Elephas maximus indicus: one gene and its partners. The protein of the gene in region 1 interacts with the protein of each later gene in a pairwise test. Links are inferred from orthologs where the notes say so. Each region holds a gene or a part of one and is shown in the gene's direction. Other genes may lie near its edges.

Region 1 (6,996 bases):
TAAAGAAAATTTTTCACATGATCCCACCATATAGGGTGTTTCTCATTAACAAATATAACAAATAATGTTTAATGTTTAGCAAAAAAATGCCCCAAATTAACTCTGCCTTCTGTTTTGGGCTTCTTTCTTATCCCACAAGTTTCACTGTTTTGTGATTTCTGTTACTTTTATACCCTCTAAAAATCTCAGCACTTGAAAAATTAATTGTGAATTCTTAGATATGACAATGAAAGCATGAGCAACAAAAGACAAAATAAATTGAGCTTTATCAAAATTAAAAACTTTTGGGCACCAAAGGATTTTATTAAGAACATGTAGAGACAACTTAGAGAATGGTAGAAAATATTTGGTAACCATGTAGCTGATGAGGTTTTAATATCCAGAATATATAAAGAACTCTACAACTCAACAATAAGAGAACAAACAACCCAATTAAAGAATGGGCAAAGTACTTAAACAGACATTTCCCCAAAGAATATATTCAAATGGCCAATAAGCATGTGAAAAGATGCTCAACATCATCAGTCATTAAGGAAATCTCATCAAAACCACAACGGGATACCACTTCACAGGCACTAGGATGGCTATTATCAGAAAAACGACAATAACAAGCATTGGTGAGGATGTGGAGAAACTGAACGCTCATTCATCGTTAGTGGGAATATAAAATGGTATAGCTGCTGTGGAAAAGTTTGGCGGTTACTCAAAAAAGTAAAATACAGAATTACCATATGACCCAGCAACTCCATTCCTAAGTATACACCCAAAAAAATCGTAAGGGGGAAAAGAAACAGATGCTCGTATACCAGTGTTCATAATAACCAAAAGGTGGAAACAACCGAAGTGTCCATCAATAGATGAAGAAACAAAATGTGATATAGCCATACAATGGAATATATACAGAAATGAAGTAGATGATACAACATGGATGAACCTTAAAAACTTCTGCTGAGTGAAATAAGTCAGACACAAAAGGACAAATCTGTCTGATTCCACTTGTATGAAATATCTAGAGTAGACAAACACAAAAGTTCATTATTGGTAAGGAGGGGTTGTGAGGAGGGTAAGTGTGGAGTTATGGCTTAAGGGGTACTCGGTTCCTGTGGAGGGTGGTGAAAAACATTTAGAAATGGATAGTGGTGATGACTGTACAACATGGTGAACAAAATTAATGTCACCGAATTATATGCTTAAACTAGTTAAAGTGACAAGTGTTTTGTTACATGTATTTTTCAAATAATTTTTTAAAAATTAATTGGAATTGCTCTCCTGGCTCAGAATCAGGGGAGAACATGCAGAACACACTCTTAATAGCCATAAATGCAAGTGATTAACAGACTGACATCTGTGTTTTGACCTTTTATCAATACACATAAAATATGCCCACTGGTGAATCTTCTAGCGAACTTAAAAAAAAAAAACACTGAGATTTGGGCTAATGGTCTGAAACAAAGTAAAATTAAATATGAATATGAAGAATTATTCTAAAATCTCAGCAGAGACTAAAGCACAGAAATTGGTATTTACTTACACAAGCTTTAAAATACTTTAGGCCATCTACTGATTTTTCGTTTAAGAGTATCCTCAGAAAAAAGACAGCTTACTTCCTCCATAACTAGGGATTCTCTGGATGGTCTGTAAAATATGATCCTGAGCAAAACATAATCCACTTATTCACAAATAGTTACTAAATGCCTACTAAATGACCTGAAAGCACTCCAAAGCCAACTACATGCTTAAAAAATTCTCTATGGTTCTGTATGATTTTCAGCAGCTATGCCTGCTTCTCTCTTCTCTTATGCCTGCTTTGGAAACCCTGGTGGCATAGTGGTTAAGTGCTACGGCTGCTAACCAAAGCGTTGGCAGTTTAAATCCACCAGGCGCTCCTTGGAAACTCTATGGGGCAGCTTTACTCTGTCCTGTAGGGTCACTATGAGTCGGAATCGACTCGATGGCACTGGGTTCGGTTTTTTTTTTTTTTTCGGTTTTTTTTTTTTTTTAAAGCTACCGCTGCTGACCAAACCGTCAGCAGCTGGGACCTGCCAGGCATTCGTTCCTTGGAAACTCTATGTGGCAGTTCTACCCTGTCCTATAAGGTCGCTATCTTATATAACTGGCATATATACATTTAATTTTCAGGATTATGTGACAAAACTGGAAATGATAAATACAAAAAAATCCCTCTATTTTAGCACAGAGATTTTAAAATGTAAATGAAGAGGGAGAAAAAACAAATTTCATTATTTTCACTGATGGGGAAGATATCACCTGAAACTTTTTACATGTCTTCAGAGAAAGTCTTTTTTTTTTAGTATCTAGTGATTTACCCATCAGCACAATCTTTTAAAATTCCTTCCTTAGCAACCTAACACTGTTTATTTAACTACCCCAGCCTGAATTCTACCTTGACTTGGGGTTAATTGTACTGGGGACTGCAGTGATTGGTTCAAACTAAACCTAAGTCAGTGTTGTTTAAAGCAGGAGGAGAAGGAGTAATTACTGAGATAACTCAGAGTTGCCTTTTCAGCAAAAGCTCCAGCTAAGGCCAGTCATAAGGCAAGTCACCCATTCAACAAACAGGTGCTGCTCACATCCTGTGCCTGGCCTTTAGCAAAGCACTGAGTCCTCTAGCAAAGTCTGTCAAGTAGCTCTCTGCACCAGATACTCCCAAATGCTACTAGAGGCATGGATACACGAATAACTTTCTTGAGGTATGGCCATAAGACTCATGGATTCATTCCACACAAATAATCATGCTCAAAAATGCAGACAGAACGATACCCAACGAACTGCTTTTTCTAATAGCTAAAAACTGAAAACCATCTGTATGTTCACCATCAGGAAATCTATTACGTAAATTACAGTCCAGCCCATGCCAGGCGCCAGGGACGGATGTGGTGGTGAACTTGGCACACATGAACGCATAGCCTTGTGCAGCGAATAAAAAGAATGTAGAAAAACATTTATAGCCGTGGGTACATACGCATGATGTATCGTTAAGCAAAGGAAGCCAAGTTACAGCACTTACAAGATCCAGGTTCTGCAAAATAAACCCTGCTCATGCCTTTTTTTTTTTTTTTTTTTCATGCTTACAGGGTAAAATGGACTGAAAGGAAATAAACCTAAATGTTAACAGGAGTTGTTCGGGGGAGCAGTGATTCGGTTGATTTGCTTTCTTCTTTGTGCTTTTCTATTATATTTTTTTGACGGCAACAAATACTATTTCTACAGTCTGAGTAAAAAGCCCGAGGCGCCGGGCCTGGCTGGGTACCGACGCCACACACCCGCCCTCTGCCAGCCGGAAGCCTGAAGCCGAGGGCCGCCCAGGGCCTTCGCCGGGCCGACGGGAAACGTCCAGAACACACCCCGCGCGGCCCGCGCCTCACCCCGCAGGGTCCCAAGGTCCGCACAGACATTGCCCGCGGCCTCAGCCGCCAGGAGATGGCTGCCACCGCCCACGCTGCCGTGGCTCAGCGGGTTGCGGGGACGCCTGGGGCTGCCCACAGGGGCTTCCAGGGTCCCGGGCGGGGGCGCCCGGGCTGTGGAGGGTGGGCCAGGCCCTCCGCGGTCCCGCCCAGGCCGCGGGTCTCACCTGTGCGCGGTGGATGCCGGAGGCCCTTGGGGGCTCCGCGCTAGGCACTGGGTTGGTTCCGACACGGCCACTCGAACGGCGTGAACTTGCTCCGTTCGCCGAGAACCGGACGCAGCCGGCGCGGACACTGAAAGCTGGGCAGGCGCAAGTCCCAAACGCGCGGCTGTTTGTCGCGCATCAGGTCTCCCGGGGTGCTCGGCGCAGGTCTCCCGGGGCGCTCGGCGCAGGCCACCACCTTCTCACCGCACGACCGATCCAACCCCCGCCCGCCGCCTCAGCGGGAGATTTCACGTTCTCTGCACAGACCGTCCTCAATCCGCACGCGAAACATTACCTAGTCCTGCACTGCATCCCCTCATGCAACCAACAAATGCTAGTGAGAGCCAGCGGTGTGCCAGGCTCTGGGCTGGACGCTAGGGACAATCTGGTGGGCAAAATCTGATCCAGTGCCTGCTCTGAAGTCTTAGGGTAGGTAGACCTGATCCTGGCATTCTCTCCTTGAAATCCTTATGGACTCTGGTTTGCTTCTTTAGTTTCAAGACTAAAACTCCAGAAGGTAGGCAGGAGGCCTCATAGATGATCTAGGCCCTGCCTACTTGGATTCATTTAGAAAGGCAAATGCTTCCAACTCCTTCTCACCCAGGGCCTCTGCAAATGCTCCCTCCCCTGCCTGGGATACTCCTCCACACTGCTTCTTTTAGTTAACTTCCATTTTGTGTTGAGATTACTCTTCAGATAGCATTTTTTAAAGAAAACTATTCTAGTTTTTAAGACTTGAAGCACCTGTGATTCTTCTCGGTCGTTTTCAAGGTATGTAATGGTTTGTGTAATGTTTGCTTAACGTATGACTTATTCCTAGACTGAGGTCCAGGACACTAGGAACCATGGCTGTTTGATTCCCGCTCTTATGCTGCCCACATCTGCACAGTGCAGAGTCATAGGGGGAAAAAAACCCCACCAAACCAGTGCCCTGGGGTCAACGCTGACTCAGGCAACCCCATGTGTGTCAGGGTAGATTTGTGCTCCATAGGGTTTTCAGTGGTTGATTTTTTGAAAGTAGATTGCCTGGTTTTTCTTTCAAGGCATCTATGGGTAGACCCAGACCTCCAACCTTTCAGTTAGTAGCCCAGCAGTTTTATGGTTTGCCCCACCCAGGGACTCCAGACTCAGTCCAAAAAAAACCAAACCTGTTGCTCTTGAGTTGATTTTAACCCTGTAATACAGAGTACAGCTGCCGCATAGGGTTTCCAAAGAGGGGCTGGTGGTTTCAAACTGCCAACCTTTTGGTTAGCAGCCAAGTTCTTAACCACTGCACCACCACAGCACCTCAAAGTAGACTCTGATAAATACTTGTTGAATAAGTGCATGAAAAGCAGTCCTGAGTAATGTTTCAGGAGGAGACATTGTCGCCTGCAGAGAGTGAGGAAGGTTGTTGACAGGCCATCTGAGGAGATTAGTGAGTGGTCCCTGTGGACAGTGGGCCCAGCAATAGACCAGAGACATGTGAAGGGATTCTGGAAAGGTTGTGAGAGCCCAGCAGATTACAAGCATACTGTGCTTGGCCCCATTGTGTAATTTCTTCTTGCAGCTTGGTGTTAATGGAGAGGATTGTTTCATCTTTGGGGTTGGCAGGGTGAACGGAGAGTTGAGAGACATTAGGGATCAACCTATTGTCTAGGTTACCACTGTCCAGGGCTCCTTGCCCAGGGAATAAGAAGTAGGTGGAAAATTCAACTCAAACTGGAATATTCCCCCAATTCCAGGTATATAATGTAATAATGACTGAATAATGACTGAATTCTTAAGCAAATTATGTTACAGGGATTCTGCTTATTCTGTCGATTCCTTATTTGCTGTCCGTATTGAAAGTTCCCTGAGAACAAGGACTTTTCATATTTGTATTTCCCTGTTGAAAGAATGGATTGGGAGAAAGGTAAAAGGCTCCAGAGTGAAAATTTCCAAGAGATGGGACAAGGCTGGTTTAAGATGCCTCCCTAATTTCCTTTTCTGAGAAACAATCCTGAGTTGTTGGGCTAGGACAAGGAAACCCTGGTCAAGGAAAAACCCAAAGGTACTGTTTAATTAAACATCACATTTTCTTAGAAAACCTGAGGATCTGGATATCACTTACAAGACCAATAGGTTATAATTTATTGACAAGTGCCTTAGATATCGCTGTCTTTAGTTCTCCTAACAGCCCAGAGATTATATTTACCCCCATTTTGTAGGCAGACCCAAAGCCCTTTAGAAGTTGTAGGCCCAGGCCTGTGGAATTTGAAAGGTTCATGTTAACAGGGCCTGTTATTAGGAAAGTACTGTGCTTGAAGAAAAATCTAGGCCTAGCCCAAGAAGCCTGGAGGAGTTCTTTGCCCAGGGACACCAGAGTACAGCCAGGTTCTGCTCACCAGCAAGGTGCATCGATGTCTGCATTCAAAATAGGCAAGGCAACCTGTGATTCCTCAGCTGGCTTGTCATGTGCCACTGTTTCTTCTTTGGGTATAGCTTCTAGGATACCTGGAACTGGGGGAATATTCCAGTTTGAGTTGAATTTTCCACCTACATCTTATTCCCTGGGCAAGGAGCCCTGGACAGTGGTAAAGTACTCAGTTGCTAATTGAAAAGTTGTCAGTGTGAATCCACCAGCAGCTCTGCAGGAGAAAGATGTGACAATCTGCTTCTGTAAAAATTACAGGCTTAGAAACCCTATGGGGCAGTTCTGTTCTGTCCTATAGGGTCGCTATGAGTTAGAATCAACTTGATGGCAACAGGTTTTTGGTTTATTCCTTTGGCCCAGGACACCTGAGGTAGGAGTAGTCACTGATTACTTGACAGGACTGTTATAGAAAGAAAAAAAGTCTCAATAAAGCCATTGTGAGATTATTGAACTCAAGTATAAAGTTTACTCATTTAGGCCAATCCTGCTTTTGACTTTTCCCAATATTAGTTTTCCAGGAAGTGCATAGATGCTGCTCTAACCTCCTACATTGCCCCACAACCAACTTGCCCATAGACACTAGAGACTTATTTTAAGAGAAAAGCCAAAAACACTCTTATTCACGATAGTCTGTTATCACAGGACCTCCTTTTGAAAAGAGAATTGTTGATGGATTGATTTTTCTGAACTCATTTTTTAAACAGCATGATCGGAGACCAAAATAAAAGGGAAATGTTACAAACATCTGATAGCTACAGACTTAAAATTTTCCACGTGCCCTTCCAGCACTAGCCCCACATGATTATTGTTAAAGGAGGCAGCATCAGTGCTTTAGAAACAAGCCCAGGGTGAAGTATTCTGGCTGCTGGGCCAGCCTCAGAGGGCAGTGTGTCAGAGCCTTTGCCAGTGACCACAGTCTGCTGCTGCTAGCCAGGCTGCTGCTGCATCTCTCCCCATGTATACAAACACA
Region 2 (7,472 bases), on another chromosome or scaffold:
AGAATAGACACGGAAAAGGACAACGAGTTTCTATTGTATTTACCTCCAGCCAGCTCCTCCAGGCTTGGCACATGAAAAGGAGACTCGACACAAGCCATTTTCTTTCTTCTTTAGGTGTAAGGTTGTACAGATAAAGCTACTGCAGGCTAATTCTCACGAGAGTCCACAGTGCACCAAACATGAACAGCTGCTGATCTGGAATTGAACACTCAGAGTTTAGTTATTAAAAGAGGACAAAAGGGCATTTAGGTTTCTGTTCATACAGAAAGGCAACCATATCTCTTAACACTTTATTCTCACAAGCAACTCTTTATTAATACTGATATTTTAAGTCATTTTAAACAGACTGGGAAGGGGAAACTCCAAACCAAGAGATCACATGTGATTCATTTTTTTTAGTCATACACAAAGATTGACATGCGATTTAATGGTTGGTGTAAGGAATACAGGTCCTGAAGCAAAAGGTACTGGCAAATATTTCTATAATAGATGATTGGTGTGTTCTACTCTACATTTGACATTTAGGTTAAAAATTCAGTTCCTTAGAGTATCACTTTTACAAAAGAAAATCTAAAGTACTAAAAGAGATGGAAACTTCTAGAAATAATCAGCTTTTGAAATTCAAATTTTTACTTTCATTTACAAATATACGTTTTATAGTAAGCAGGTTTTTGTTCAATTATTCTGATAATCTTTAACCAATTATAATTTGGTATTTTAAAAATATATGCTAAGTGCATGTACCAATAAATAGGCATACATAAAAACATACACAGCGATTAATACCTTACCTCAAGGGTTCACATGATGAGGAGGTGTACCAGCAGAGGGAGATAAAATGAAGCCAAAAAAGACTCCACAAACAACAGACGCAATATGAAGTGGGCGGGTAATCCTACACTAGGCCAGTCACGACAAGGAATAAGAAAAAAAAACCCTTATGGGAGTTTCTAAGAGCACTGTTGTTCTTGTTAAAATTGTTAATAAAACACTTCATTAACTGGATTAGCCTCTGACTTTAACAAGCTTACTTAGCAAGTGAAAGGTTGGCCCCCCAACATCACTTGAAAAAAAAAAAAATTTTTTTTTTAATTCCCCAAAGATTCACAGGTTTCCTAGAAACTGGGTTTCTAGTTTTGATCATTTTTGACAAGTATTTTCTATAAACATAGTACTGCATACATTTAGCACTTAGTGCTTTATCATTTACCAGCTTTTATTTATGAGGATAATAAAAGCACTCAATATCTTTGTTTGCAGTAGAAATTACTCAAATGAAAATTCAAATATAATCCTAATTTTATACCCTTTACTAACTCTAGAAGGTCAGTTTTTTATTTCCCCACCCAAACAAAGTCCAACCCTGCAAGGCTACAGCCTGAATGATTGATTTAGAAATGTACAACTTCAGACAGGCCAACAGTTAGCACAGAAGGCAGTGTGGTAGTAGTATGTGTGTGTACATGTGTGTGAGGGCAGGGGGTTGTTAGGGTTTGAGTGATGAGAGCTAGGGGGTTAGAAAGGTCTTAATATAAATTCATAAAGGCTCCAAGAGGAAAGCCTTGGAGCAGATGTAGGCAAACAATATTTACCCTCCCAATACAATTCGTTGGAGTTAATGGCCCAGAAATTGAGTTTAGAATAGGGAATAGAAATAGGAGGCAGTTGGGTAAGTCAGGTTGCAGAAAGAACACCCCAAAAGGGTAGACCAACTATGGCAACCAAGCTACCATTTACTGAGCGCAGCCTTATACCAGACATTCTCTCAAAACCTCTCACGACCATGACAGGGAGGTATTATGTTTCTCATTTCACAAAAGAGAAAATAGGTCAGAGAGGATGTATTATTTATCTAAGTTCACTAAGTTGGCAAATGGCAGAAACAGAATTCCAGGTCTAGCCCACTATAAAACCAGAACTCATGACACTGTTCCACGCTGGTTAACTGGTGAAGGACTGATACATTTCAGCTGAAAATAAGGAATAATCTGTACAGAGTTATCCTATAGCACTCAAAGTATTATCTATGTACATCTGTTTGCTTGCTCTCTTTTCCATAGTTTGTGATCTGAAGATAGGATTATGTTTCTCATATCTGTATTCCAAGTACCTAGCATACATTGGGGGCCCTGGTGGCACAGTGGTTAAGCACTTGGCTGCTAATCAAAAGACTGGCAATTCGAATCCATCAGCCACTCCTCGGAAACCCTATGAGACAGTTCCATTCTGTCCTATAGGGTCACTATGAGTTGGAATTCACTCTGCAGCAACAGGTTTGGGTTTTTTGTTTTTTTTTTTGTAGCATACAGCGGGCATTACATTCACAACACACCAGACTCATAAAGCTCTGGTACAGGGCCAGCTTCACTGGTGTGCAACTAGTGCAGTCACACAGGGCCATGCACTCAGAAAGGCACTTGGTTAAATGTTCTGCTGTCACCATCTTGAAATTTTTTTTTTTTAAATAATTTTGTCTTCGAACTTGGGTTTTGCAAATAAACTCCAAAGAGACAACAGGGTATGCACAGGAGCAGAGGAGAGCACTGCGACATGCATGCCCACCATGGGTCCTTGCCACCACTTTTGCAGACAGCATTTGTGATGTCCTGTTTTTTTATAAGCAGCAGAGAAGAGCCCTGATGGTACAGTGGTTAAGAGCTTGGCTGCTAACCAAAAGGTCTGCAGTTCAAATCCACCAGCCACTCCTTGGAAACCCTATAAGGCAGTTCTGCTCTGCCCTAGAGGCTTACTATAGTCAGAATACACTAGATTGGAAAGGGTTTGATTTTGGTTTTTATGAGCAGAGAGGATCCCTAGTTAAGTGTTCAGCTGCTAACCAAAAGGTGAGCAGTTTGAATCCACCAGCTGCTTCTCCAGAGAAAGATGTGGCTATTTGCTTTTGTAAAGATTTACATTCTTGGAAACCCTAAGGTGCAGTTCTACTCTGATAAATAGCATTGATAAGAGTTGGAATCATGGACCCAAGATGCATGGGAATTCAGTAAGCCTCAAAATCTTTGGCTTCCAGAGTGTTGGCAGAACGTGCAAGTATCAAGAACTGAAATAAAAACAGTTGAGTTAGCTTTACACAGCGTTTCTACTGTTCTAAGGTATTTCTTACTAGAACAAAACATACATTTGTATGAGCTATGAAATACAAATTTTGTGACGTTTCAGTGATTCTGCCTAAGAGTTAAATGTTATTAGATTTGTATTTAATACTGGCATTGCACAATATAAAGATAAATGATAAAATTCATGCCAACAATTTTAAATTTTTATTTTTCTTTACTTAGAATGGCATTACACAGCAAATAAAAAACATAACAAGTCGAGAGAGACCACGGAAGGAAAAGCTTTTTCCCTGCTTTTTGAACACGGGACCCTGCATTTTCATTTTGTACTGGGCCTCATAAATTCTATAGCCGGGTATGCTCCTTGAACAGGGCAGTGTATAAGACATGCATAGACTCCGTGGGTCAAATGCAGTGGGCTGCCTACAGAATCAGACTTTCTATACCTGAAGCTGTTCGATATCTGGCGCCAAATGGGGTAAAGAGACCAGATTACCCTTAAAGTTCTTTCTAATCCTGGGATGACGCTGACTATAAACGGAGACTAGACAACATCACTGCTTATACAAGAAAGCGGAAAATAATCAAACCGACTCATTCTTTTTTTAACTACTTTGTGGAAAAAAAATCAACTAGTTTAGCTGCTGTACCTTAAACACTCCGCAACCGGTCAAGGAACTTTTTTTTTCAGGGGAGGAGGGTGAGGGAACTGCAAAAAAAAAAAAATTCCTCCGCGGGTAACTCGTGGTATATTAACCAACTCCTGGGAGGCTGACCCTTAGTTTAGAAGGAATGGTGAGGCTAACAAAACGAATCTGAAGGTGTCTGGAGGGAAACTGGGTGTGCTATGGTGTAAGACTGGAGTCCAGGACAAAGGTTACACATTTCGATAACGGTCAAACCATGAACCTTTCCCAATATTTTAACACAGAACAGATATTTGAAGGCAAAAGTATTATGTCAAAAACTGCCAAAAAGGGATGCTTCACATTCCTGAACAGAAACCCAAACTCATCTGCCAACCTAGAATTCTACAGCTTGGCATGTAAGAAAAACACACACCATCCGGTACCAGGCTTTAGAAAGTCAGACGACAGCAGGGCGAATGCGATACCACCGGAAACAATTCACGGTTTTTTTCCTCGCAGTTCACATCCATTCCGCTCCTTTCGCCCACAATTTGTTTTTGCCGTTTGTCAAAATATTTTTGGCTACTGCACTTACCTAATTCGGTCTAGGAAGCCTCAACTTAATCTTCACCGTTCCCTCCGACAACCCCACCTCCTGACGTCACGACCTCAGGCTCCGCCTACTTCTTATCACACCTCCCCTGGCGTTGATCTAAATGGCTCCGGGGAGTCTCATCTCCTCCCACCTCTCGCTGTCGCCCGGGTGTCCAGTTGTATCGCGAGACTTCGGCCCCACTCTTAGGCGGGTCGCGCGATAGCTCTTCCCTTTCCTCCGAACGGTTGGAGAGAGGTAGGCCGTTTTCTGCGCGGTGCCGTGTTGGAGCGGGAGGCTGCTGGGTGCTAGGTACAGACTTCAGGGACACTTCCGCCGCGTCAACCCGAGGCTTCTGGCCCGAGGCCTGGGCTGAAGTGCTTACGGGCGTTTGCTTCCTACCAGTCTGGTGGGCGGGGGAGAGGCCGCTGATCTAGTTTTCCTCGGGACCACCGCGTAGTTTGGGGAAATCGAGCGCTGGAAATCAGGCCCTGAGGGTGGAGGGCTTCCCCGGGCCTAATGGCCGGACAGAGTCCCGAACAATCGCGGTTATCGCCTGTGGGCCTGTTTCGTTGGTCTGGTATGTAGCTGTTAAGATGTATGCCAAACGCCGGCATGTTTCTGACGCCAGTTTTTGGCGTGCGGTTAGGTGTTCCCGGAGGCCTAGCCGAAGGTCACCCGGTTGTGAGTGGTCGTGGGGGTGCTCTGTGTTAGATCTGGCCGAGCGCTCTAGCTTGCCACGTGGCTTCGAAGAACCGCAAAATCCCTGGATGGGAAGACAAGTACGAATGCTAGTTGAGCAGGTTCTGATAAAGTGACTTAAATTAGCTTTATTTTGGTGAGTGCTCGGTGTGTGTGTGTGTGTGTGTGTTTTAATTCCAGGTATACTGTCAGGGTCCATTGGATCCAAATTTTTGGGGTTTTGATTTGGAGCAGTTGGTACTTCATAGCTTATTAGCGGTTTTAGAATTTTGCATTTAAAAAATCTTTAAAAATTCTGTTTTGAGATTACCGCATGGGTCCGTTGGGCAGTTTCACAAGTTTCTAGATTGCAGCACTTATTGTTTCCCTAGACTTGGAACATTTTGCTGTTTTATCATGACAATTTATTGCATCGTTACGCAGTTTGTCGATTTCCAAGTACGCTGAAGACTTGTTCTTTGTTGCCATCTGAGACCCCATGTGTTCAGAGTAGAACTGTGCTCCCTGTGGTTTTCAGGCTCCTCTGGGTGGGTTTCTCCCACTATCCTTTTGGCTAGTAGAGCACTTGAGAGTTTGTCACCCAGGGACTCCTATGTGCTAAAATAATACAAAAATAGAATGATGGCATCCTGTAAGGAAGATGAGCTTAGGAAATCATCTTTCAGTTTTTCAATTGCATTATATGTGAAGTATTGTAAAATGACAAAAACCAAATCAAACTCATTTCGAATCCAGTCGATTCTGATTCATAACAATCCTATAGGACAGTAGAACTGCCTCGTTGAGTTTCCAAGGAGCGGCTGGTGGATTCGAACTGTCAGCCTTTTGGTTAGCAGCTGAGTTATTAACGGCTGCGCCACTAGGGCTCCACAAAAGACACTAAAACCCACTGCCATGGAGCCGATTCTGACTCCTAGCGACCCAGTAGGGTTTCCTGTAAATCTCTAGGAGGCTGACTGCTATGTCTTAATTCCGCAGAGCTACTGCTGGTTTCACACTGCCAATGTTTTGGTTAGCAGTTATCACCATAACCACTTCGCCACTAGGGCTCCTTCAGTAGTCTGTTTTAGCCTTTCATTGAAAGAAATGAAAATTCACAATTCTCAGTTTCTGTGCATGAAGACAACATGGGAACGTTTACCAAAAAAAGGTTTCATAATTACTTAATGTTAAGAGACCATAAGTGAAGTCCCAGACCAGATGTTGAAAATGGTGATGGAATCCAGGTGTAAATGGTGATGACTTTTTCCTGGTGTACTGAGGCCTATTGAACCACAGTCTACCTTCTGGCAGTTTTTCCTAGGAGTTCCTATCTATCTTGGGAAATAACCTTTTGGCTATTAATTGTATATTACTCATGGCTCCTGGTGAAATTACAGTTTTTATTGGTAATTAGAATGACGTTGGATGCTTTTGCTGGGAATGACAGTACTTTTCTGGATGGTATCTTGTACCATTGAATAGATTTGGAAAGACAGAATAGAACCTGTCAGTGCAATTTCTCATTTTTAGAGTTTGATGTGAAACTGTTTTCTAGATGAGAAGCTTTTAAAGGCCTGTTCAATCAAGTGATTGTGCCTAAATTCACAGCTAATGGTGTAAAGTACTTCAAAATTTCCGGTATTAAGATACTTGCTATCTATGTGCTGAAGTTTAGTGTTTATTCAGGGAAGCTATATCACATCTACTGAATTTATATTTTCAGAAATTTATCCCCTTAAAGCAAGGAACGGGTGATGGATAAAACAGTCTGACTTGAGGGACTTGGAGTATTTATCTAAGGAATGGATTCTCCCAGCTACACAATGACATCTGATTTAGCTACTGCTGTAGAAATTGAGGATCATAGGTAAGTCTGCATTTTTAGATCAACTGTTACTGTTTTAAACTGGAATATCTCAGCAGTAGATTCCATTAATGTTTACTGTATTCGAATTACCAGGAAAACAAATCGTTGTAGATATTAGTAGTGGTAAGAGTTAATTTTCAGAAATTAGGAAAGATGAAAGAAAAACTTGATTTACACAGACCTTCAAAATTAGATTAAATCTATGTGATTTTATTGAGTTATTACAACTACTTTGATTCAAAAGTATCTGACTTCCTGGATAAGTTGCCTCATTTTTTTATATCAAGTAAATGGACATCAGTGGAGAATGTTGCATAAAAATCAACCCATTAAGATATTCCACATAATGTAGAATGCTGACGTAAGTATATGAATTATGTGTTTAGTACTTCGTGAATTGTGGGGGCTCGTCAGCATTAGTATATTCTCATCAAATACTTGTCTGGTATGTCATATACACCCCCAGTTGGGGGTCCTGGTGGTGTAGTGGCTAAAAGCTCAGGCTGCTAACCAAAAGGTAGGCAGTTTGAATCCCCAGAGTTGTGTGGGCCATTTTATGTAGGGTGGTCAGAACTCAATGGCTAGGTTACCCTGGCCCCATCCCTGCCTCTTCCATTTTTTAGTGA
Region 3 (7,153 bases), on another chromosome or scaffold:
TTAAGCCTGCCTCATAAAGGTTAGGATTTACAACAGATAGGATAATCACATCAGATCACAAAATGGTAGACAACCACATAATACTGGGAATCATTGCCTAGCCAAGTTGACACACATTTTGGGGGGACACAATTCATTCCATGACAGGCCCCTATGTTGAACTTTCTAGGAGCTTTTAGTTATTTCTCATACGCTTTCTAGGTGTGCAATCAAATAATCACAAATGATGTCATTTGCTTCCTCCTTTCGATTTGTTGTATCTCTTATTTTGTCTCCTGCCTTTTCATGTTTGCTGTAACGCAGTTTTTTTTTAAGTTTGTTGACAGCTAAAAGAGATTTTAATAACATTTTGTGGGAAACTTGAAAATATGAGAACAAAGCTCGTTTAGAAGAATAAATGCCTAAGAGCAATACAGAAAATTGAGGAAAAAGGAGGGTATATTAAGAGGGATTTGCCTTACCAGGTATCAAAATATCCTATGCTGTTGTTGTTTGCTGTAGAGTCAATTCCAACTTAAAGAACCCCATAAAACAGAGTAGAACTGCCCAATAGGGTTTCCCAGGCTGTAATCTTTATGAAAGCAGATCGCCAAGGATTTTCTTGTGAGGAGCTGCTAGTGACTTAAACAGCCAACGTTTCAATTAACAGCCAAGTGCTTAACCATTGTGCCACCAGGGCTCCTTAAAATATCCTATAGAAGCATGGTAATTAAAACAGTAGAAGTCCTGGCACAAATAGATTTTTGGAAGAAAATAGAATGCATAGACTAAATTTGTCCGTATTTAATACACGAAAGAATGGCATTTCAAATCAATAGAGAAGTGATAGATTATTTAATAAATGGTATTTCAGTAACATAAAAATTAGGACTAAGGTAAAACCATGATAACAAAACTGTATTACAGTTGCAATTATATAATTACAAAAAATATATAAATAATCTTTGGACATAAAAGGCCATTCTAAAAGTGGTCCAAATCTGGGAATCCATAGAGGAAAAGACTGTTAAATATGCCTATATAACAATGCTAAAAAAAAAAAAAAAAAAATCCTCCATAATGGTAAATGATCACAAAGTTAAAAAGACAACAGACAAATTAGGAAAAATATTTGTAACCTATAAAATAAAGGGTTTATTAATAATATTAAAAGTTTCTACAAATAATTTGAAAATTCAACAGGAAAATAGGAAAAAATTTGAACAGACAATTCATGAAAGAAGTACACTGTATCAATGATAATTACAAAAGGTACTTAATATATTGGCTTAGTTTGGGTTCTCTAGAGGAACAAAACCAATGAGATGTATATATGTGTGTATATATATGTATATATACATATAAAACTTCCATTGCCATCAAGTCTATTAGTGACCCTATAATACAGAGTAGAACTGCCCCAAAGGGTTTCCAAGGAGTAGCTGATGGATTCTAACTGCTGACCTTTTGGTTAGCAGCTGGCCTCTTAGCCACTACGCCAGCAGGGTTCCATATATGTATGTAGATGTACCTACATCATATCTATATCTATCGTATACATATCTATCATATCGTATCTATATCTGGTGGTGCAGTGGTTACGAATGCAGCTGTTAACCAAAAGGTCTGCAGTTGGAATCCACCAGCCACTCCTTAGAAACACTATGGGGCAGTTTTATTCTGTCCTATAGGGTTGCTATGAGTCAGGATTGACTTGATGGCAATGGGTTTGTTTCATTTTTGTAAATAAAGAAAGAGAGAGAGAGGAGTTGATTGATTTACTTCAAGGGATTTGCAAATGTAATCGTGGGGCTGGCATGTCCAAAATCCATAGGCCAGGCAGCAGGCCAGAGGCTTCTGCAGTCTCACATTCCAAGATCCACAGACCAGGTGATGAGGTAAGTGCAGGGTCAAAAGAAAGAGAGAAAGTGAGCTCTGCCAGAATATCCGTTTATCCAGTACCAACTGATTGGTTGATCATATCAGATCACATCACAGAAAGTGATTACATTATGGAACAGCAACCAGTCCAATATCTGGCCAAACCACTGAGAACCATAGTGTAGCCAGGCTGACATAAAAAATTAACCATCACATATATGACTTATTAGATAGCTATAAGTTTAAAAGTTTGACCATTCTCTCTTAAAAACTTGTGAGCAGCCATCTAAGATACTCCACTGGTCTCACCCCATCTGGAGCAAGGGAGAATGAAGAAAGTCAAAGATACAAGAAAAAGATTAGTCCAAAGGACTAATGGAGCACAACTGCCATAGCCTCCACCAGACTGAGTGCAGTACAACTAGATGGTGCCCGGCTACCACCACTGACTGCTCTGACAGTGACCACAATAGAGGTTCCCTGACAGAGGTGGAGAAAAATGTAGAACAAAATTCTAATCACAAAAAAGGACTAGACTTATTGGCCTGACAGAGACTGAAGAAACTCTGAGAGTATGTCCCCCGGATGCCTTTTTAGCTCAGTAATGAAGTCACTCCTGAGGTTCACCCTTCAGCCAAAGATTATACAGGGTCATAAAACAGAACAAGACTAAATGGGGACACCAGCCCAGAGGCAAGGACTAGAAGGCAGGAGGGGACAGGAAAGCTGTAACAGAGACCCAAGGTCAAGAAGAGGAGATTGTTGACATGTCATGGGGTTGGTAACCGATGTCACAAAACAATATGTGTACTAATTCTTTAATGAGAAGCTAGTTTGTTCTGTAAACCTTTATCTAAAGTACAATTAAAAAAAAGGAAAAGTTTGACTATTCTCAGTTCTGGGGAGGAAATGGGTTTGGTTACCACCTATTTAAAGGGCAATCTGCTAGTATCTATCAATAGTGTACATACCCTTTGATCCAGCAATTCCACTTGTAGGAAGTCACCCTACAGAAACATTTAAGCATTCATTCTGTTCCTTCCATCTTTGCGGTAAATGATCCAATTGTATAATAATAGGATACTGGTTGGATAAATTGTGGAACATCCAATCTAAAAAAAAAAAAAACCAGTTGCTATTCACTTGATTCTGACCTCGTAGAGACCCACAGAACAGAGTAGAACTGCCCCGTAGAGTTTCCAAGGAGCGCCTTGTGGATTGGAACCGTCAACCTTTTGGTTAGCAGCCATGGCACTTAACCACTACCCCACCAGGGTTTCCAAATAATCTATATAATGTAACAAATAGAAACAATGCATTAAATTTGTATGTGCCGATATGGGGAAAATGTCCGTAATACATTGAGGAATATAAAAAGCAAACTGAAGCACACAACAGATAGTAAGATATCATGTGCTCCAAGGTCACATCAGCATCCTTTCAACTCCCAAAACTAATCACTTGTAACCACCTTATACTGAACTACTTTTCTTTGGAATGCTGTACTTCTGCTCACTGGACAGTCTTCATGTGTTTGCTTACTGTCTGTGGAAAGCTCCATGTGCACAAGGACTTTATTTTTTCAATGCTCTATCCTCAGTTCCTAAAACATTTTAAGTGTCTAATAATTAATTCAAAAAATATGGAGTAACACAGATATATATATATATATATGAACTTTATGTTTCAAACAATGTGGATTTAAGAGAATATCCCCATGATCTAATGTTAAATATATGTACAGCTAAAATATAATATTTGTGTCATCGTTTTCCAATTGACAAAGTTTCACTTATATAGTCTCATTTGGCCCTTACAACATCCCTCTGAAATACATAAAAATAATTAACAGATGCTTGCACTTCACGGTTTGTTAAAGCCATTCTTTCAACTGATGGTCACAGACCTGTTAACTTATCCCTTCCTGTTTACTTGCAAGGCTACTCCTAGTTTTTAGAACACTGCATACTGTCTTTGTATATGGAGTTCCGTAGTTCCAAAATGTTCTTCCCTGCCTCCGCATCCCCGCATCATACGTGTACTCATCCTTCAAAACCCACTTGTAGGCCCGACAGCTGGCCTCCCCGCTCTTCCTCAAACTCAGGGACCCACACAGCAGACACCTGCGATCACACAGCAGACACCTGCGATCACACACCACCCACTCTCTGTAACTGGAAGCTGCCTGAGAGACACTCGAGGCCCGTCTGGCTCCGCCCACGTCTGCGGCCTCCGGGGTTCGAAGTCTCCGCCCCCTCCGAGGAGTTTCCCAAGACCCAGCGCGGCACTTCTCAGCCGCGCTAAGATGGCGACTCCCATGCACCGGCTCATAGCCCGGAGACAGGCGTAAGTAAGGGACCGTTTCGGGCCCCAGGGTGAGCTGGAGACGAGGAGATACGCGTCAACCGACTGATGAGCGGGCGCTGGGATGCGGGGCCGTTTCTGCATCCCCACTGGGGACCGGCGGAGGGTGGGCGTTCTTTTTACACGTCACCTGCTCTCGAGGGTCTCGGGCCCGGGTGGTTAAGTTTGGTGCCCACTGTCTAGCGATTTCGCGGAGGACGACGTACGCTTATATAAGGTCCACGGGTCTGGACAGAGGTTGGTTTGAGGAGAGCCGCCGCATTTGTTTCCTCTGAAGGGGACGCCCAGGAGTTGGTTACTGAGTGGTTTCGTGACGGAGAGTGTGCCTCTCAGCCCACTCAGTCGACCACCCTACGCACGACCAAGGGAGGCTTGAAGCTCTGATCGGACTCCACCACTCTCGCCGAGATACCCTTCAGCCCCCTGTGAAGTCTCAGCTCAGCTGACTTTTCCTGCCCCCTCACTATCGACTTCCCTACAAGCGGCAGAACTGTAAGGCCAACTTTTCTCCCACGCTATCCCCTGGTTTTCTACCATTCATGTACTCTGTCAACAAACGTTTATTCAGTACCTACTGCTCTGTGCAAGAATTTGAATGTAAAAAAAAGAGGTGTTCCAGATAGAATCCCTGCTTTCAGGGAGCTTACATTCTAGTGGTGGAGATAATCAATAAACCAAACAAATTTAGTAAGTACAGTTAGTGATGAGAACTTTAAAGGAAATAAAGTAAGATAAAAAGGAGCCCTGGTGGTGCAATGCTTAAGTGCTCGGCTGCTAACCTAGAGGTTGGTGGTTCAAACTCACCCTTGCTCTGTGGAAGAGGGAGGTGGCAGTTGGCTTTCCTAAAGATTTACAGCCTTGGAAACCCAGTGGGGCAGTTCTACTCTGTCCCATAGGGTCTCTGTGAATTGGAATTGACTCGATGGCAAGGGGTATGGTGTGATGTGTAAGAGGAAAAAACCCACTTAAAATTGGGTGAACTGAAAAGGCATCTCTTAAAAGGTGGAATTTGAACAAAGATTATAAGGGAGGGAAAGGAGGCAGTCATGAGCAGACTTGGGGAAGAGTATCCAGACAATGGCATAATTGCTTTGAGGCTGGAAAAACTTAGTTTTAAGAACTGAAAGAAGGCCATTGTAGCCCATGGGCAAGAGAGAGTGGAACAAGCTAAAATTACAGCGGTTTGTGGCAGACATAATGCAGGAGCCATCCCAAATGTCCCCTTCTTGTAAAGCCTTCTACCAACATGCACACAAACAACCTCAGCCCCTTCATTCTCTCATCATTTCATGCCATCACTGTGTGCACATCTCTAATGCATAGATCACCATATATATTTGTTTATAGTTCTTTTTATATTTACATTTCTAATCTCAGATCCCTGTTCTTTCTCTTTTCCTCTTCATCTGACCCTACTCTCATGAGGAGCTCAAGGAGAGCGTGTAAGGATAAAGACTCAGGGAGTTAGAGAAGTAAACTTGGTTGAAGAGAACTTCAAAGTCACACAGTTCTGAGATCAAGAATGAGGTGATAATAATACTTAATAGGACTGCTAAGTGATGTCACCAGGGTCCCATATCTCCCTGTCTTTCTCTAGTGTGCTCTTTTGGGTGTTGGCTCCACACTTGGATAGGATCTCTCCTTTGGTCCCAAGATAGCTGCCGTATCTAGGGTCCTTTTATGTCCTTTCAGCTTCAACTCCTTCAAATAAGGCAAAAATGATTTTATCTCATTGGTCTTGATTGTGTTACATGACCAACCCTGAACCATGTTTTTGAGAATTGTGAAGCCCTGATTGCCCTAGATTGCATTCGTCGCCCAGTACAATTGGCCATTTTACCATAAACCAATGATGAGCTGGGTGGGAAGGTCAGAAGTGGTGAATGAATGCCGGATTGGCAAAACTAGCCTATGTCTACTGTAAATATGAAGTAAAAACAAGACTTTAGCAACCAAAGAAAATTACCGTTTGTTTTTCACAGTATCAGAAAGATTAACAAAGGTAATGTTTCTAGAGTGTGCCTGGTTTTGGTACATAAGCCACACAGAAATAGAAAACAAATCTTACCTTTAGGAGCTTCTGGTCGTGTTGGGAAGAAAACATGTGCTGTATAATAAAAGATGGTGTCGTATATAGACTAAGTTACCCAGGGATTCAGAGAAGAAGGTACTTTATAGGCTAGGGGAGTCCAGGAATGTTTGGAGAATATACAAGAGTGGAGACAGCAGGAGAGGAGCCTTTACTTTTCATTTTATATTCAACAAAAAGATTTCATTTTATGTATAACGGGCATATATTACTTTCATAATAGTAAGTTTAAAACTTTGTTTTAGGGTTATGAGAAGTGAGGAAGTATATTGTTTTCATTCTTTAATAAACTTTCTGGATTAATAGACAAGGGGTGAGGGTGGAGAGGAATAAAAGAAAAAAAAGAAAGTGAGCCTAAATTTGAACTCCCCATTCAGTATATCTTCCTGGAACTTTTTATTATCAAGCTCCTTTAAGTCAGTTGGGATGAAATTACTTCATCTTGTGAATTATAATGACATCTGCCCATACGTAAGTAGATTGTAGAATCTTGGCACTATCCACTGTCTTCTACTAAACCCTCTACTGGTTTCCATTATTTGCTCGTCAGCATCCAGAGTAGCCATCTAATTTTGCCTTGAAGACGTCTAGTAATGACAAACTCACTACCTCCTGAAGTGAGTTGTTACACTTTTCAAGTCTGTCCAAAAGTTTATGTTGAGCTGGAAGGAAAAGAATATTTATGAAGGCAAAACCTTCTAACTTCCCTGCTTTTGACCCAAGCTGTGATTTCAGTTAGTTAAAAACCCTAAGTGTTTCCCACATGAACTGGCATCAAGTCTGGCCTCCCCTGTCCTGTATTTGTATTGATTTTCTGGAATTCAGTGTCAGACTTACTTT
Region 4 (7,506 bases), on another chromosome or scaffold:
TGGATTCACCATGGATTTCTGAGTCTCTGCATTTCCATGAAGGCTTTGATAGGATTGGATTCTAATTGCTGTATATTTTTTTTTAATGAAAGCTTTTTACGTATGGTCTATGCTGAAATTGAAAATTTCATCAGATTTATTCACTGTTGGTACGGGACTGACATTTTCATGCTTTCTCTGTTGGTGGTAGTAAAAGCATGGTTTTGTATAGGAGTATACATCAGAATGTGCAATATATAGCTCTGATCTGGGAATCTGTGATCAAAATTTATGATTAAGAGATTAAATCATTGAAAACAAAAGTGCCACATCAGTGATGCCCCTGACTTTTTAAAACGGAAATAAAGTGTTCATTAATAGGAATTTGACTTTTGATATATTCCTGTAATAATATGAAACCATTAAAATGAGGGTATATTGTTGTTAGTTGCTGTCAAGTTGATTCTTACTCTTGGCACTCCCATGTATGCAGAGTAAAACTGCTCTGTAGGTTTTTCAAGGCTGTGACCTTTCAGAAGCAAATCTCAAGGCCTTTTAAGGCATCTCTAGGTGGGTTTGAACCTCCAACCTTTTGATTAGTATTCCAGCACTTACCCATTTGCACCACCCTGGGGCTCCACTGGAAACCCTGGTGGCGTAATGGTTAAGTGCTACAGCTGCTAACCAAAGGGTCGGCAGTTCAAATCTGCCACGTGCTCCTTGGAAACTCTATGGGGCAGTTCTACTCTGTCCTATAGGGTCGCTGTGAGTCAGAATTGACGGCACTGGGTTTGTTTTTTTGGGTTTGGGACTCCATTTAACAGATAAAGGACTAATATTATTAATATATGAAGAAAAATTCAGAATTTGAAGGTGGAAAGAACAAACCTCAATAGAAAAGTGAGCAACAAATTGGAGAGATGGTTGACAAAAACATGTATTAATTGCCCTTGAAATATGAAAAAATGTTGCACTTCACTCAAAATAAATGCAAACTAAAGCTACATTGAGGTACCATTTACTACATTGAGGTACCATTTCTTACCATTCTGTTGGCAAACTTGGCAAAAAGCTACTCTCACACATTGCCAGTGGGAATGCAAACCAATATGGAGGGAAATTTGAGAAGATGCAAAAAAGTACATATGTATATACTATTTGACTCTGCAATTCTAATTTTATGAATTTATCCTTAAGATGTATCTTCAGCAAAGAGAAAAGATAAATTTACAAGGTTGTTTATTGCAGCATTGTTTGTAATGAGAAAATGTTGGAAGTAAATGCCTATAGAGAGAACCACACAGTGGAGTATTATGCAGTTGTAAAAAGAATGTACTTAGATGAAGTGATTTGTAGGATATACTGTTAAGTGAAAAAAGCATGGTAATTTTGTAAAGGAAAATAAAATCTACATATGTCTGAATCTTTTCTGAAGGAAGAACTATGGGAATAATAAACCAGGAAATAGTGAAATTGGTTACGTACAGTGGTTAAGTTAAATGGAGGAAGTGCTGGAGGAGTGAGAAGGGACTGGAAGCATGGAGTGACCCTAATGCTCAGCTCTTGAGCAGGTATAATTGCTTGGAGATGTTGTACAATATGTTAACGTCTGAAACTGTTTTCACCTCCAAATGGGTATAATAATAACCATGAAAAGTTTAAAAGAATTAACATGGCTTTACCATGAGGCCACTGTTGCCGTTTGGCCCTCTCAAATAGTGTTTTTTTTTTTTTTTTGCCAAACGAGTAGTAGTACCACAGGGTCCGGAGTAGGGGTTGGTACCTTCTGTGTTGCTTAATGCCCTTCTGAAGCCTTTCTACCTTGCCACTTCTTTAAACGCCCTGTGTTAGCCTCATACCATCATATTATACTGGCTATTATCTTAATTCAGTTAACTCCTGCCCTCTAAGAAGAGCATTCCCGTTAACTCCTTGGCAGTTTTATCTCCTGGCTCAATATTCCTTTTGCAACAATACTCCTGCCATAGTTAAAGGTATCTATGTCGTGACTATAAAATACTTTTTGCTCGAGGATTCAGGGAAAGGTATGCACGTTCTCAGCGTAGTGAAGCACGTTACCCCCCAGGAGGTCGAGATTTTGGGCTTTGTTCCTTTCGGCATTGTGGGAAGTGTAGTCCAGGAACTCTGTATTAGCAGAAGCATTTCCTCCCCCGAAAGGATGCGGTTACTGACGTTCCTCGCCCTCGGGCATCCTGGGAAGTGTAGTTAGGCAGCTCGGCGGAGTTGGGGCGTTTCCTCTCAGACAAGCAGTTCTGAGGAATTCTGGGAAACGTATTCCAGAAGCTCTGGAGTGGCAGGCGCTTCTGCCCGAGCAGTGAAGTTCCTGCCATCTTCCCTTCATACTGGTGCTTCAGTCTTGGCCTCGCGACTCTTTCGAAGTTCCTGGATCTGCGCTGGGACACGCAACGACCCGGACACAGACTTAAGGGAAAAGAAGTGGTGGCGCAAGCGGAGGTTTGAGAAACCAGGGTGGCGGTTTACGTTCCCTTGGCGTAGCCGCTTGCGTTTCGAGCGGTTCGCGCGGCAAGTGTTGGTAAGGGGTTCGGGTCGTTAGTCCCCTGGTTTGAGGGTCTTCCCGGCTTTCCGCTCCCCGCAGCGGTCTCCATCCAACTTAATCCGCGCTGCCACCACCTCACGGCATAGCGGGCGAGTTATTTAATCTTTTCGTGTCCTCGGTTGCTTTTCTGTAAAAAGAGGATATTACTATTCGTAATAGAATTGTTTCGAGAATTAAAAGAGGTGGTACAAATAGAAGTCTTAGAACAGTTCGTGGCTCATGGTAAGTGGTGGTATCCGTTGTTAGTACTATTTGATTTCCCGAATAGCGCTCAGTTCTCTGAAACCTGTGAAGCCAGAGCTTCAACTACAGTCGCCCTGGCGCTTCTCTGTGATCCCTGCAGGAAGCTGATCTTCAGGAATGATCTGACCCCTTTTTTAGAAAGGATGGGTTGCTTCTAGCTGGTACGGCGTGAGGAGAATTAACTGTGGTTTATCGGGGACAGCGAGGCAACCATTTCACAGAATTCTTTCCTCCCTAGCCCCGATTTCTCAAAAAGGACTGCAGGAGATGGAAAACTGATTCCTTGGCTACTGGCAAAGAGCCTCACGTGAGTAGGACTTGGTGTTCTAGAGATTTTCACATCTGTTAATGGGGAAGGAACAACTCAGAAAAGTAGGGTGAGAATGGTTGCGCAACTGGAAGAACGTAATCATTGTCCCTAAATGGTATATATAGAAAAGGTTGAATTGGTGTGTTTTGCTGTGTATATTCTCAACAACAACAAGATGAATCAAATTTTTAAAAGTTGAAAAAAAGATTTTCACATAAATCGTAGAATGTATGTGACATACACGTCCGCATGGGTAAGGATAAAAATTAAGCTTTAATTGCTAAGTTCGTTCTAATGGTTTTATAAAAATTAATACATTTATGCCACACCGTGGCTATGTGAAGGAGCCTTGGTGACACAGTGATTAAGCGCTCGGCTGCTAACCGAAAGGTCAGAGGTTCGAACTCACCAGCCTCTCTGTCGGAGAAAGATCTGGCAGGCTGCTTCCATAAAGATTTACAACCTTGGATACCCTACAGGGTTGCTTTAAGTCAGAATGAACTCAAAGGCAGTGGGTTTGGTTTTGGGGTTGGTGGCTGTGTGAGGTGGGTATTGCTTTTTTTCCTATTTTAAGGACGAGGAGATAAGAGTTATTTACCCATAGTCACCAAACTAGTAGGAGGAGAGCTGGGATAGGAACCAAGACCTTCTGAGTTCAGAGCCCGAATTCATAATTTCTGTGATATATACCCCACGAGCCACAGAAAACAGGAATGAAGTTAATTGTGGGAATCTTGTGAGTTTTTAAGGAACGTTCTCAAATATTTCATTACAAAAAATATATTCTATTTTTATAGAATTAAATCATTGTGGACAGTTCAGAAAATGCAGAGAAAAAGGTTTTTAATTACAACTCCAGGATGAAAAGATAGCAACTGTAAAGCTTGAAGTACGTTTTTCCGTAGTGGTTCTTTGTGTATTTACATATAAATGGTTCACAAAGGTTGTATCATATTTTCTATAATATTTTTATGCTTATCTTTTTAAATTATGGGTATTTCTAAACACTGCCAAGAAAGGAATAGACTAATGAATGCTATATATTGTCATCATTATCATCCTTATTATTATTATTACTATTTTCTGATTTTTTTTTAAATTATTGTATTTTAGGTGAAAGATTACAGCACAAATTAGTTTCTCATTCAAAAACATATGCAAATTGTTTTGTGACATGGTTGCAATCCCCTCAATGTGTCAGCATTGTCCCCCGTTCCCTTTCCACCTCGGGTTCCCCGTGTCAATTTGTCCAGTTTTCCTGGCCCTTCCTGCTTTATCTTTGCTTTTGGCCAGGTGTTGCTCATTTGGTCTCCTGTACTTGATTGAACTAAGAAGCACTTTCTTCACCTGTGTTACCGTTTGTTTTATAGGCCTGTCAAATCTTTGACTGAAAGGTGGACTTCGGGAGTGGCTTCAGTTCTGAGTTAGCAGGGTATCCAGTGACCATTGTCTGAGGAGTTCCACCAGTCTCTGTCAAGACAGTAAGTCTGGTCTTTTTTTGTGAATTTGTAGTTCGTTCTACATTTTTCTCCTGCTCTGTCCGATACCCTGTATTGCGATCCCTGTCAGAGTGGCCTGTGGTGGTAGCTGGGCACCATTTTGTTTTTCTGGGTTCAGGCTAGTGGAGGCTATGGTTCATGTGGTCCATTAGACCTTTGGAGTGATATTTTCCTTATGTCTTTGGTTTTCATCGTTCTTTGCTCCAGACAGGATGGGGCCAATAGATGTATCTTAGATGGCTACTCACAAGCTTTTAAGACCCCAGACACTACTCAACCAACTAGGATGTAGAACATTTTCTTTATGAACTGTGTTTTGTCATTTAAACTAGATGTACCCTGAGACTGTGTTCCCCAGTCCTCAAAGTGTTTGCATGTGTCTGGAAAGCTTCTATGACTTTGCCTTTGTCAAGTTATACTGACTTCCCCTATATTGTGTTTTGTCTTTCCCATCCTCAAAATTAACACTTGTCTACTGTCTAGTTAGTGGTTTCCCCTCTCCACCTCCCCATAACCATCAAAGATTGTTTATTTTTTTCCTATGTGTAAACCTTTTCTTGAGTTTTTATAATAGTGATCTCATATGATTTTTGTCCTTTTGGGATTGACTTATTTTACTCAACATAATGCCCTTAAGATTCATCTATGTTGTGAAATGTTTCATGGATTCATTACTGTTCTTTATTTTTACGTAGTATTCCGTTGTGTTTATGTACCATAATTTATTTATCCATTTGTCTCTTGATGGGCACTTAGGTTGTTTCCATCTTTTTGCTGTTGTAAATAATGCTGCAGTAAACATGGATGTGCATGTGTCTAATTGTGTGATGGCTCTTATTTCTCTGGGATATATTCCTAGGAGTGGGATTGCTGGATCATATGGTATTTCCATATTGTATTCCATAGTGGTTGTACCATTTGCATTCCCACCAACAGTGCATAAGAGTTCCAGTCTCTCTGCAACCTCTCCAACATTTGTTATTTTCTGTTTTTTTTTTTTTTTGTGCCAGCAATGTTGGGGTGAGATGATATCTGTGGTTTTGACTTGCATTTCTCTAATGGCTAATGATCATGAGCATTTTCTCCTGTGTCTGTTAGCTACCTGAATGTCTTCTTTGATGAAGTATCTGTTCACATCTTTTGTCCATTTTTTAACTGGATTATTTATCTTTTTGTTGTTGGGGTGTTGAAGTAGTTTATAGATTTTAGAGATTAGACCCTTGTAGGATATGTCATAGCCAAAATTTTTTTCCCAGTCTGTAGGTTCCCTTATGACTCTTTTGGTGAAGTCTTTTGATGAGCATAAGTTTTTAATTTTTAGGAGCTCCCAGTCATCTAGTTTATCTTTTGGTGTTTACACATTGTTAGTTATGATTTGTATTGCATTTATGTCTTATATTAGGGCCCCTAGCATTGTCCCTATTTTTTCTTCCATGATCTTTATTGCTTTATATTTAGATCTTTGAACCATTTTGACTTAGTTTTTGTATATGGTATGTGGTGTGGGTCGTGTTGCATTTTTTTATAGTTGGATATCCAGTTTTGCCAGCACCATTTGTTAAAAAGAATATCTTTTCCCCATCTAATGGATTTTGATCCTTTGTCAAAGATCAACTGACCATAGGTGGATGGGTCTACATCTGGGTTCTCAATTCTGTTCCATTGGTCTTTGTGTCTGTTGTTGTAGCAGTACCAGACTGTTTGACTACTGTGGCTGTATAATAGGTTCTGAGATCAGGTAGTGTGAGGCTTCATACTCTTTTCTTTTTCTTCAGTAATGCTTTGCTTGTCCAGGGCCTCATTCCTTTCCATATAAAGTTAGTGATGAATTTTTCCATCTTGCAAGAATGCTGTTGGTATTTGGATTGGGATTACATTATATTTGTAGATTGTTTTGGGTAGATTCAACATTTTCACAATGTGGAGTCTTCCTATCCATGAGCATGGTGTGTTTTTCCATTTATGTAGGTCTCTTGGTTTCTCACAGTAGTGTTTTGTAGTTTTATGGTTAGATTTATTCCTAAGTATTTGGTCTTTTTAGGGGCTATTACAAATGGTATTGTTTTCCTGATTTCCTTTTCGAAGCTCTCTTTGTTGGTGTATAGGAATCCAATTGATTTTTGTATGTTGATCTTGTGTCCTGCTGCTCTGCTGAATCTTTCCTTTAGTTCCAGGAGTTTTCTTATGGAATCTTTGGGGTTCCGTATAGTATCATATCACCTATGAATAGGGGTAGTTTTATTTTTTCCTTTCCCATTTGGATGCCCTTTGTTTCTTTTTCTTCCCTCATTGCTGTAGCTAGGACTTCCAGTGCAGTGTTAAATAGGAGTGGTGATAAAGGGCATCCTTGTCTTGTTCCCTTTCTCAGGGTGAACACTTGCAGCTTCACACTGTTGAGAATGATGTTGGCTGTTGGTTTTGTGTAGATGCCTTTTATTATGTTGAGGAATTTCCCTTCTATTCCTATTTTATCCAGAGATTTTGTCAGGAATGGATGTTGGACTTTATCAGATGCCTTTTCTGCATTGATTGAGATGATCATGTGATTCTTTTTGTTATATTTATGTGGTGGATTATGTTTTGTAACGTTTTGTTTTTATATAATTTCAGACTTACAGAAAAGTTGTGAAAATACTTTTAAAGAATATTCATATATTCTTTACCCAGATTGAGAAGCTGTTTACATTTCACTTCTTTGCTTTGTCATTGACCATTAGCCAAGTATGATCAAAAATATGCCTGAAACCAAAGACAAGTTATTTTAAATGTCTACAGCAAGAAAGCCCACATACCAGGGGAAATCATGGGGTGTCTTGTTAAGAGTCAGTTGGAAGGGATGGGTTATAGGGTTTTAGCATAGCATATTAGATGCTTTCAGATGTTATATTGTGGATTTA

What was found.
Region 2: the proteins of CEP70 (region 1) and TAF1D interact in binary tests that used the Homo sapiens proteins (3 or more experiments, as listed by UniProt). The link is inferred for Elephas maximus indicus from reciprocal best matches to the Homo sapiens genes CEP70 and TAF1D.
Region 3: the proteins of CEP70 (region 1) and ZCCHC10 interact in binary tests that used the Homo sapiens proteins (3 or more experiments, as listed by UniProt). The two-hybrid records come from large-scale screens. The link is inferred for Elephas maximus indicus from reciprocal best matches to the Homo sapiens genes CEP70 and ZCCHC10.
Region 4: the proteins of CEP70 (region 1) and zinc finger protein 234-like interact in binary tests that used the Homo sapiens proteins (3 or more experiments, as listed by UniProt). The two-hybrid records come from large-scale screens. The link is inferred for Elephas maximus indicus from reciprocal best matches to the Homo sapiens genes CEP70 and ZNF227.

Annotation. Positions count from the first base shown.
Region 1 is NC_064844.1:38,736,398-38,743,393, forward strand, and holds the start of CEP70 (centrosomal protein of 70 kDa), read left to right. Parts: upstream 1-3,974; 5' UTR 3,975-4,060; intron 4,061-4,161; exon of another isoform or gene 4,162-4,402; intron 4,403-6,996.
Region 2 is NC_064825.1:27,237,897-27,245,368, forward strand, and holds the start of TAF1D (TATA box-binding protein-associated factor RNA polymerase I subunit D), read left to right. Parts: upstream 1-4,449; 5' UTR 4,450-4,553; intron 4,554-4,565; exon of another isoform or gene 4,566-4,875; intron 4,876-6,702; 5' UTR 6,703-6,781; coding exon 6,782-6,846; intron 6,847-7,472. Other genes in the region: C7H11orf54 (ester hydrolase C11orf54 homolog), read right to left, coding at 44-98. UniProt on the Homo sapiens protein: Component of the transcription factor SL1/TIF-IB complex, which is involved in the assembly of the PIC (preinitiation complex) during RNA polymerase I-dependent transcription.
Region 3 is NC_064820.1:124,405,543-124,412,695, forward strand, and holds the start of ZCCHC10 (zinc finger CCHC domain-containing protein 10), read left to right. Parts: upstream 1-4,135; 5' UTR 4,136-4,165; coding exon 4,166-4,206; intron 4,207-7,153.
Region 4 is NC_064829.1:106,444,266-106,451,771, reverse strand, and holds the start of zinc finger protein 234-like, read left to right. Parts: upstream 1-4,501; 5' UTR 4,502-4,591; intron 4,592-7,506. UniProt on the Homo sapiens protein: May be involved in transcriptional regulation.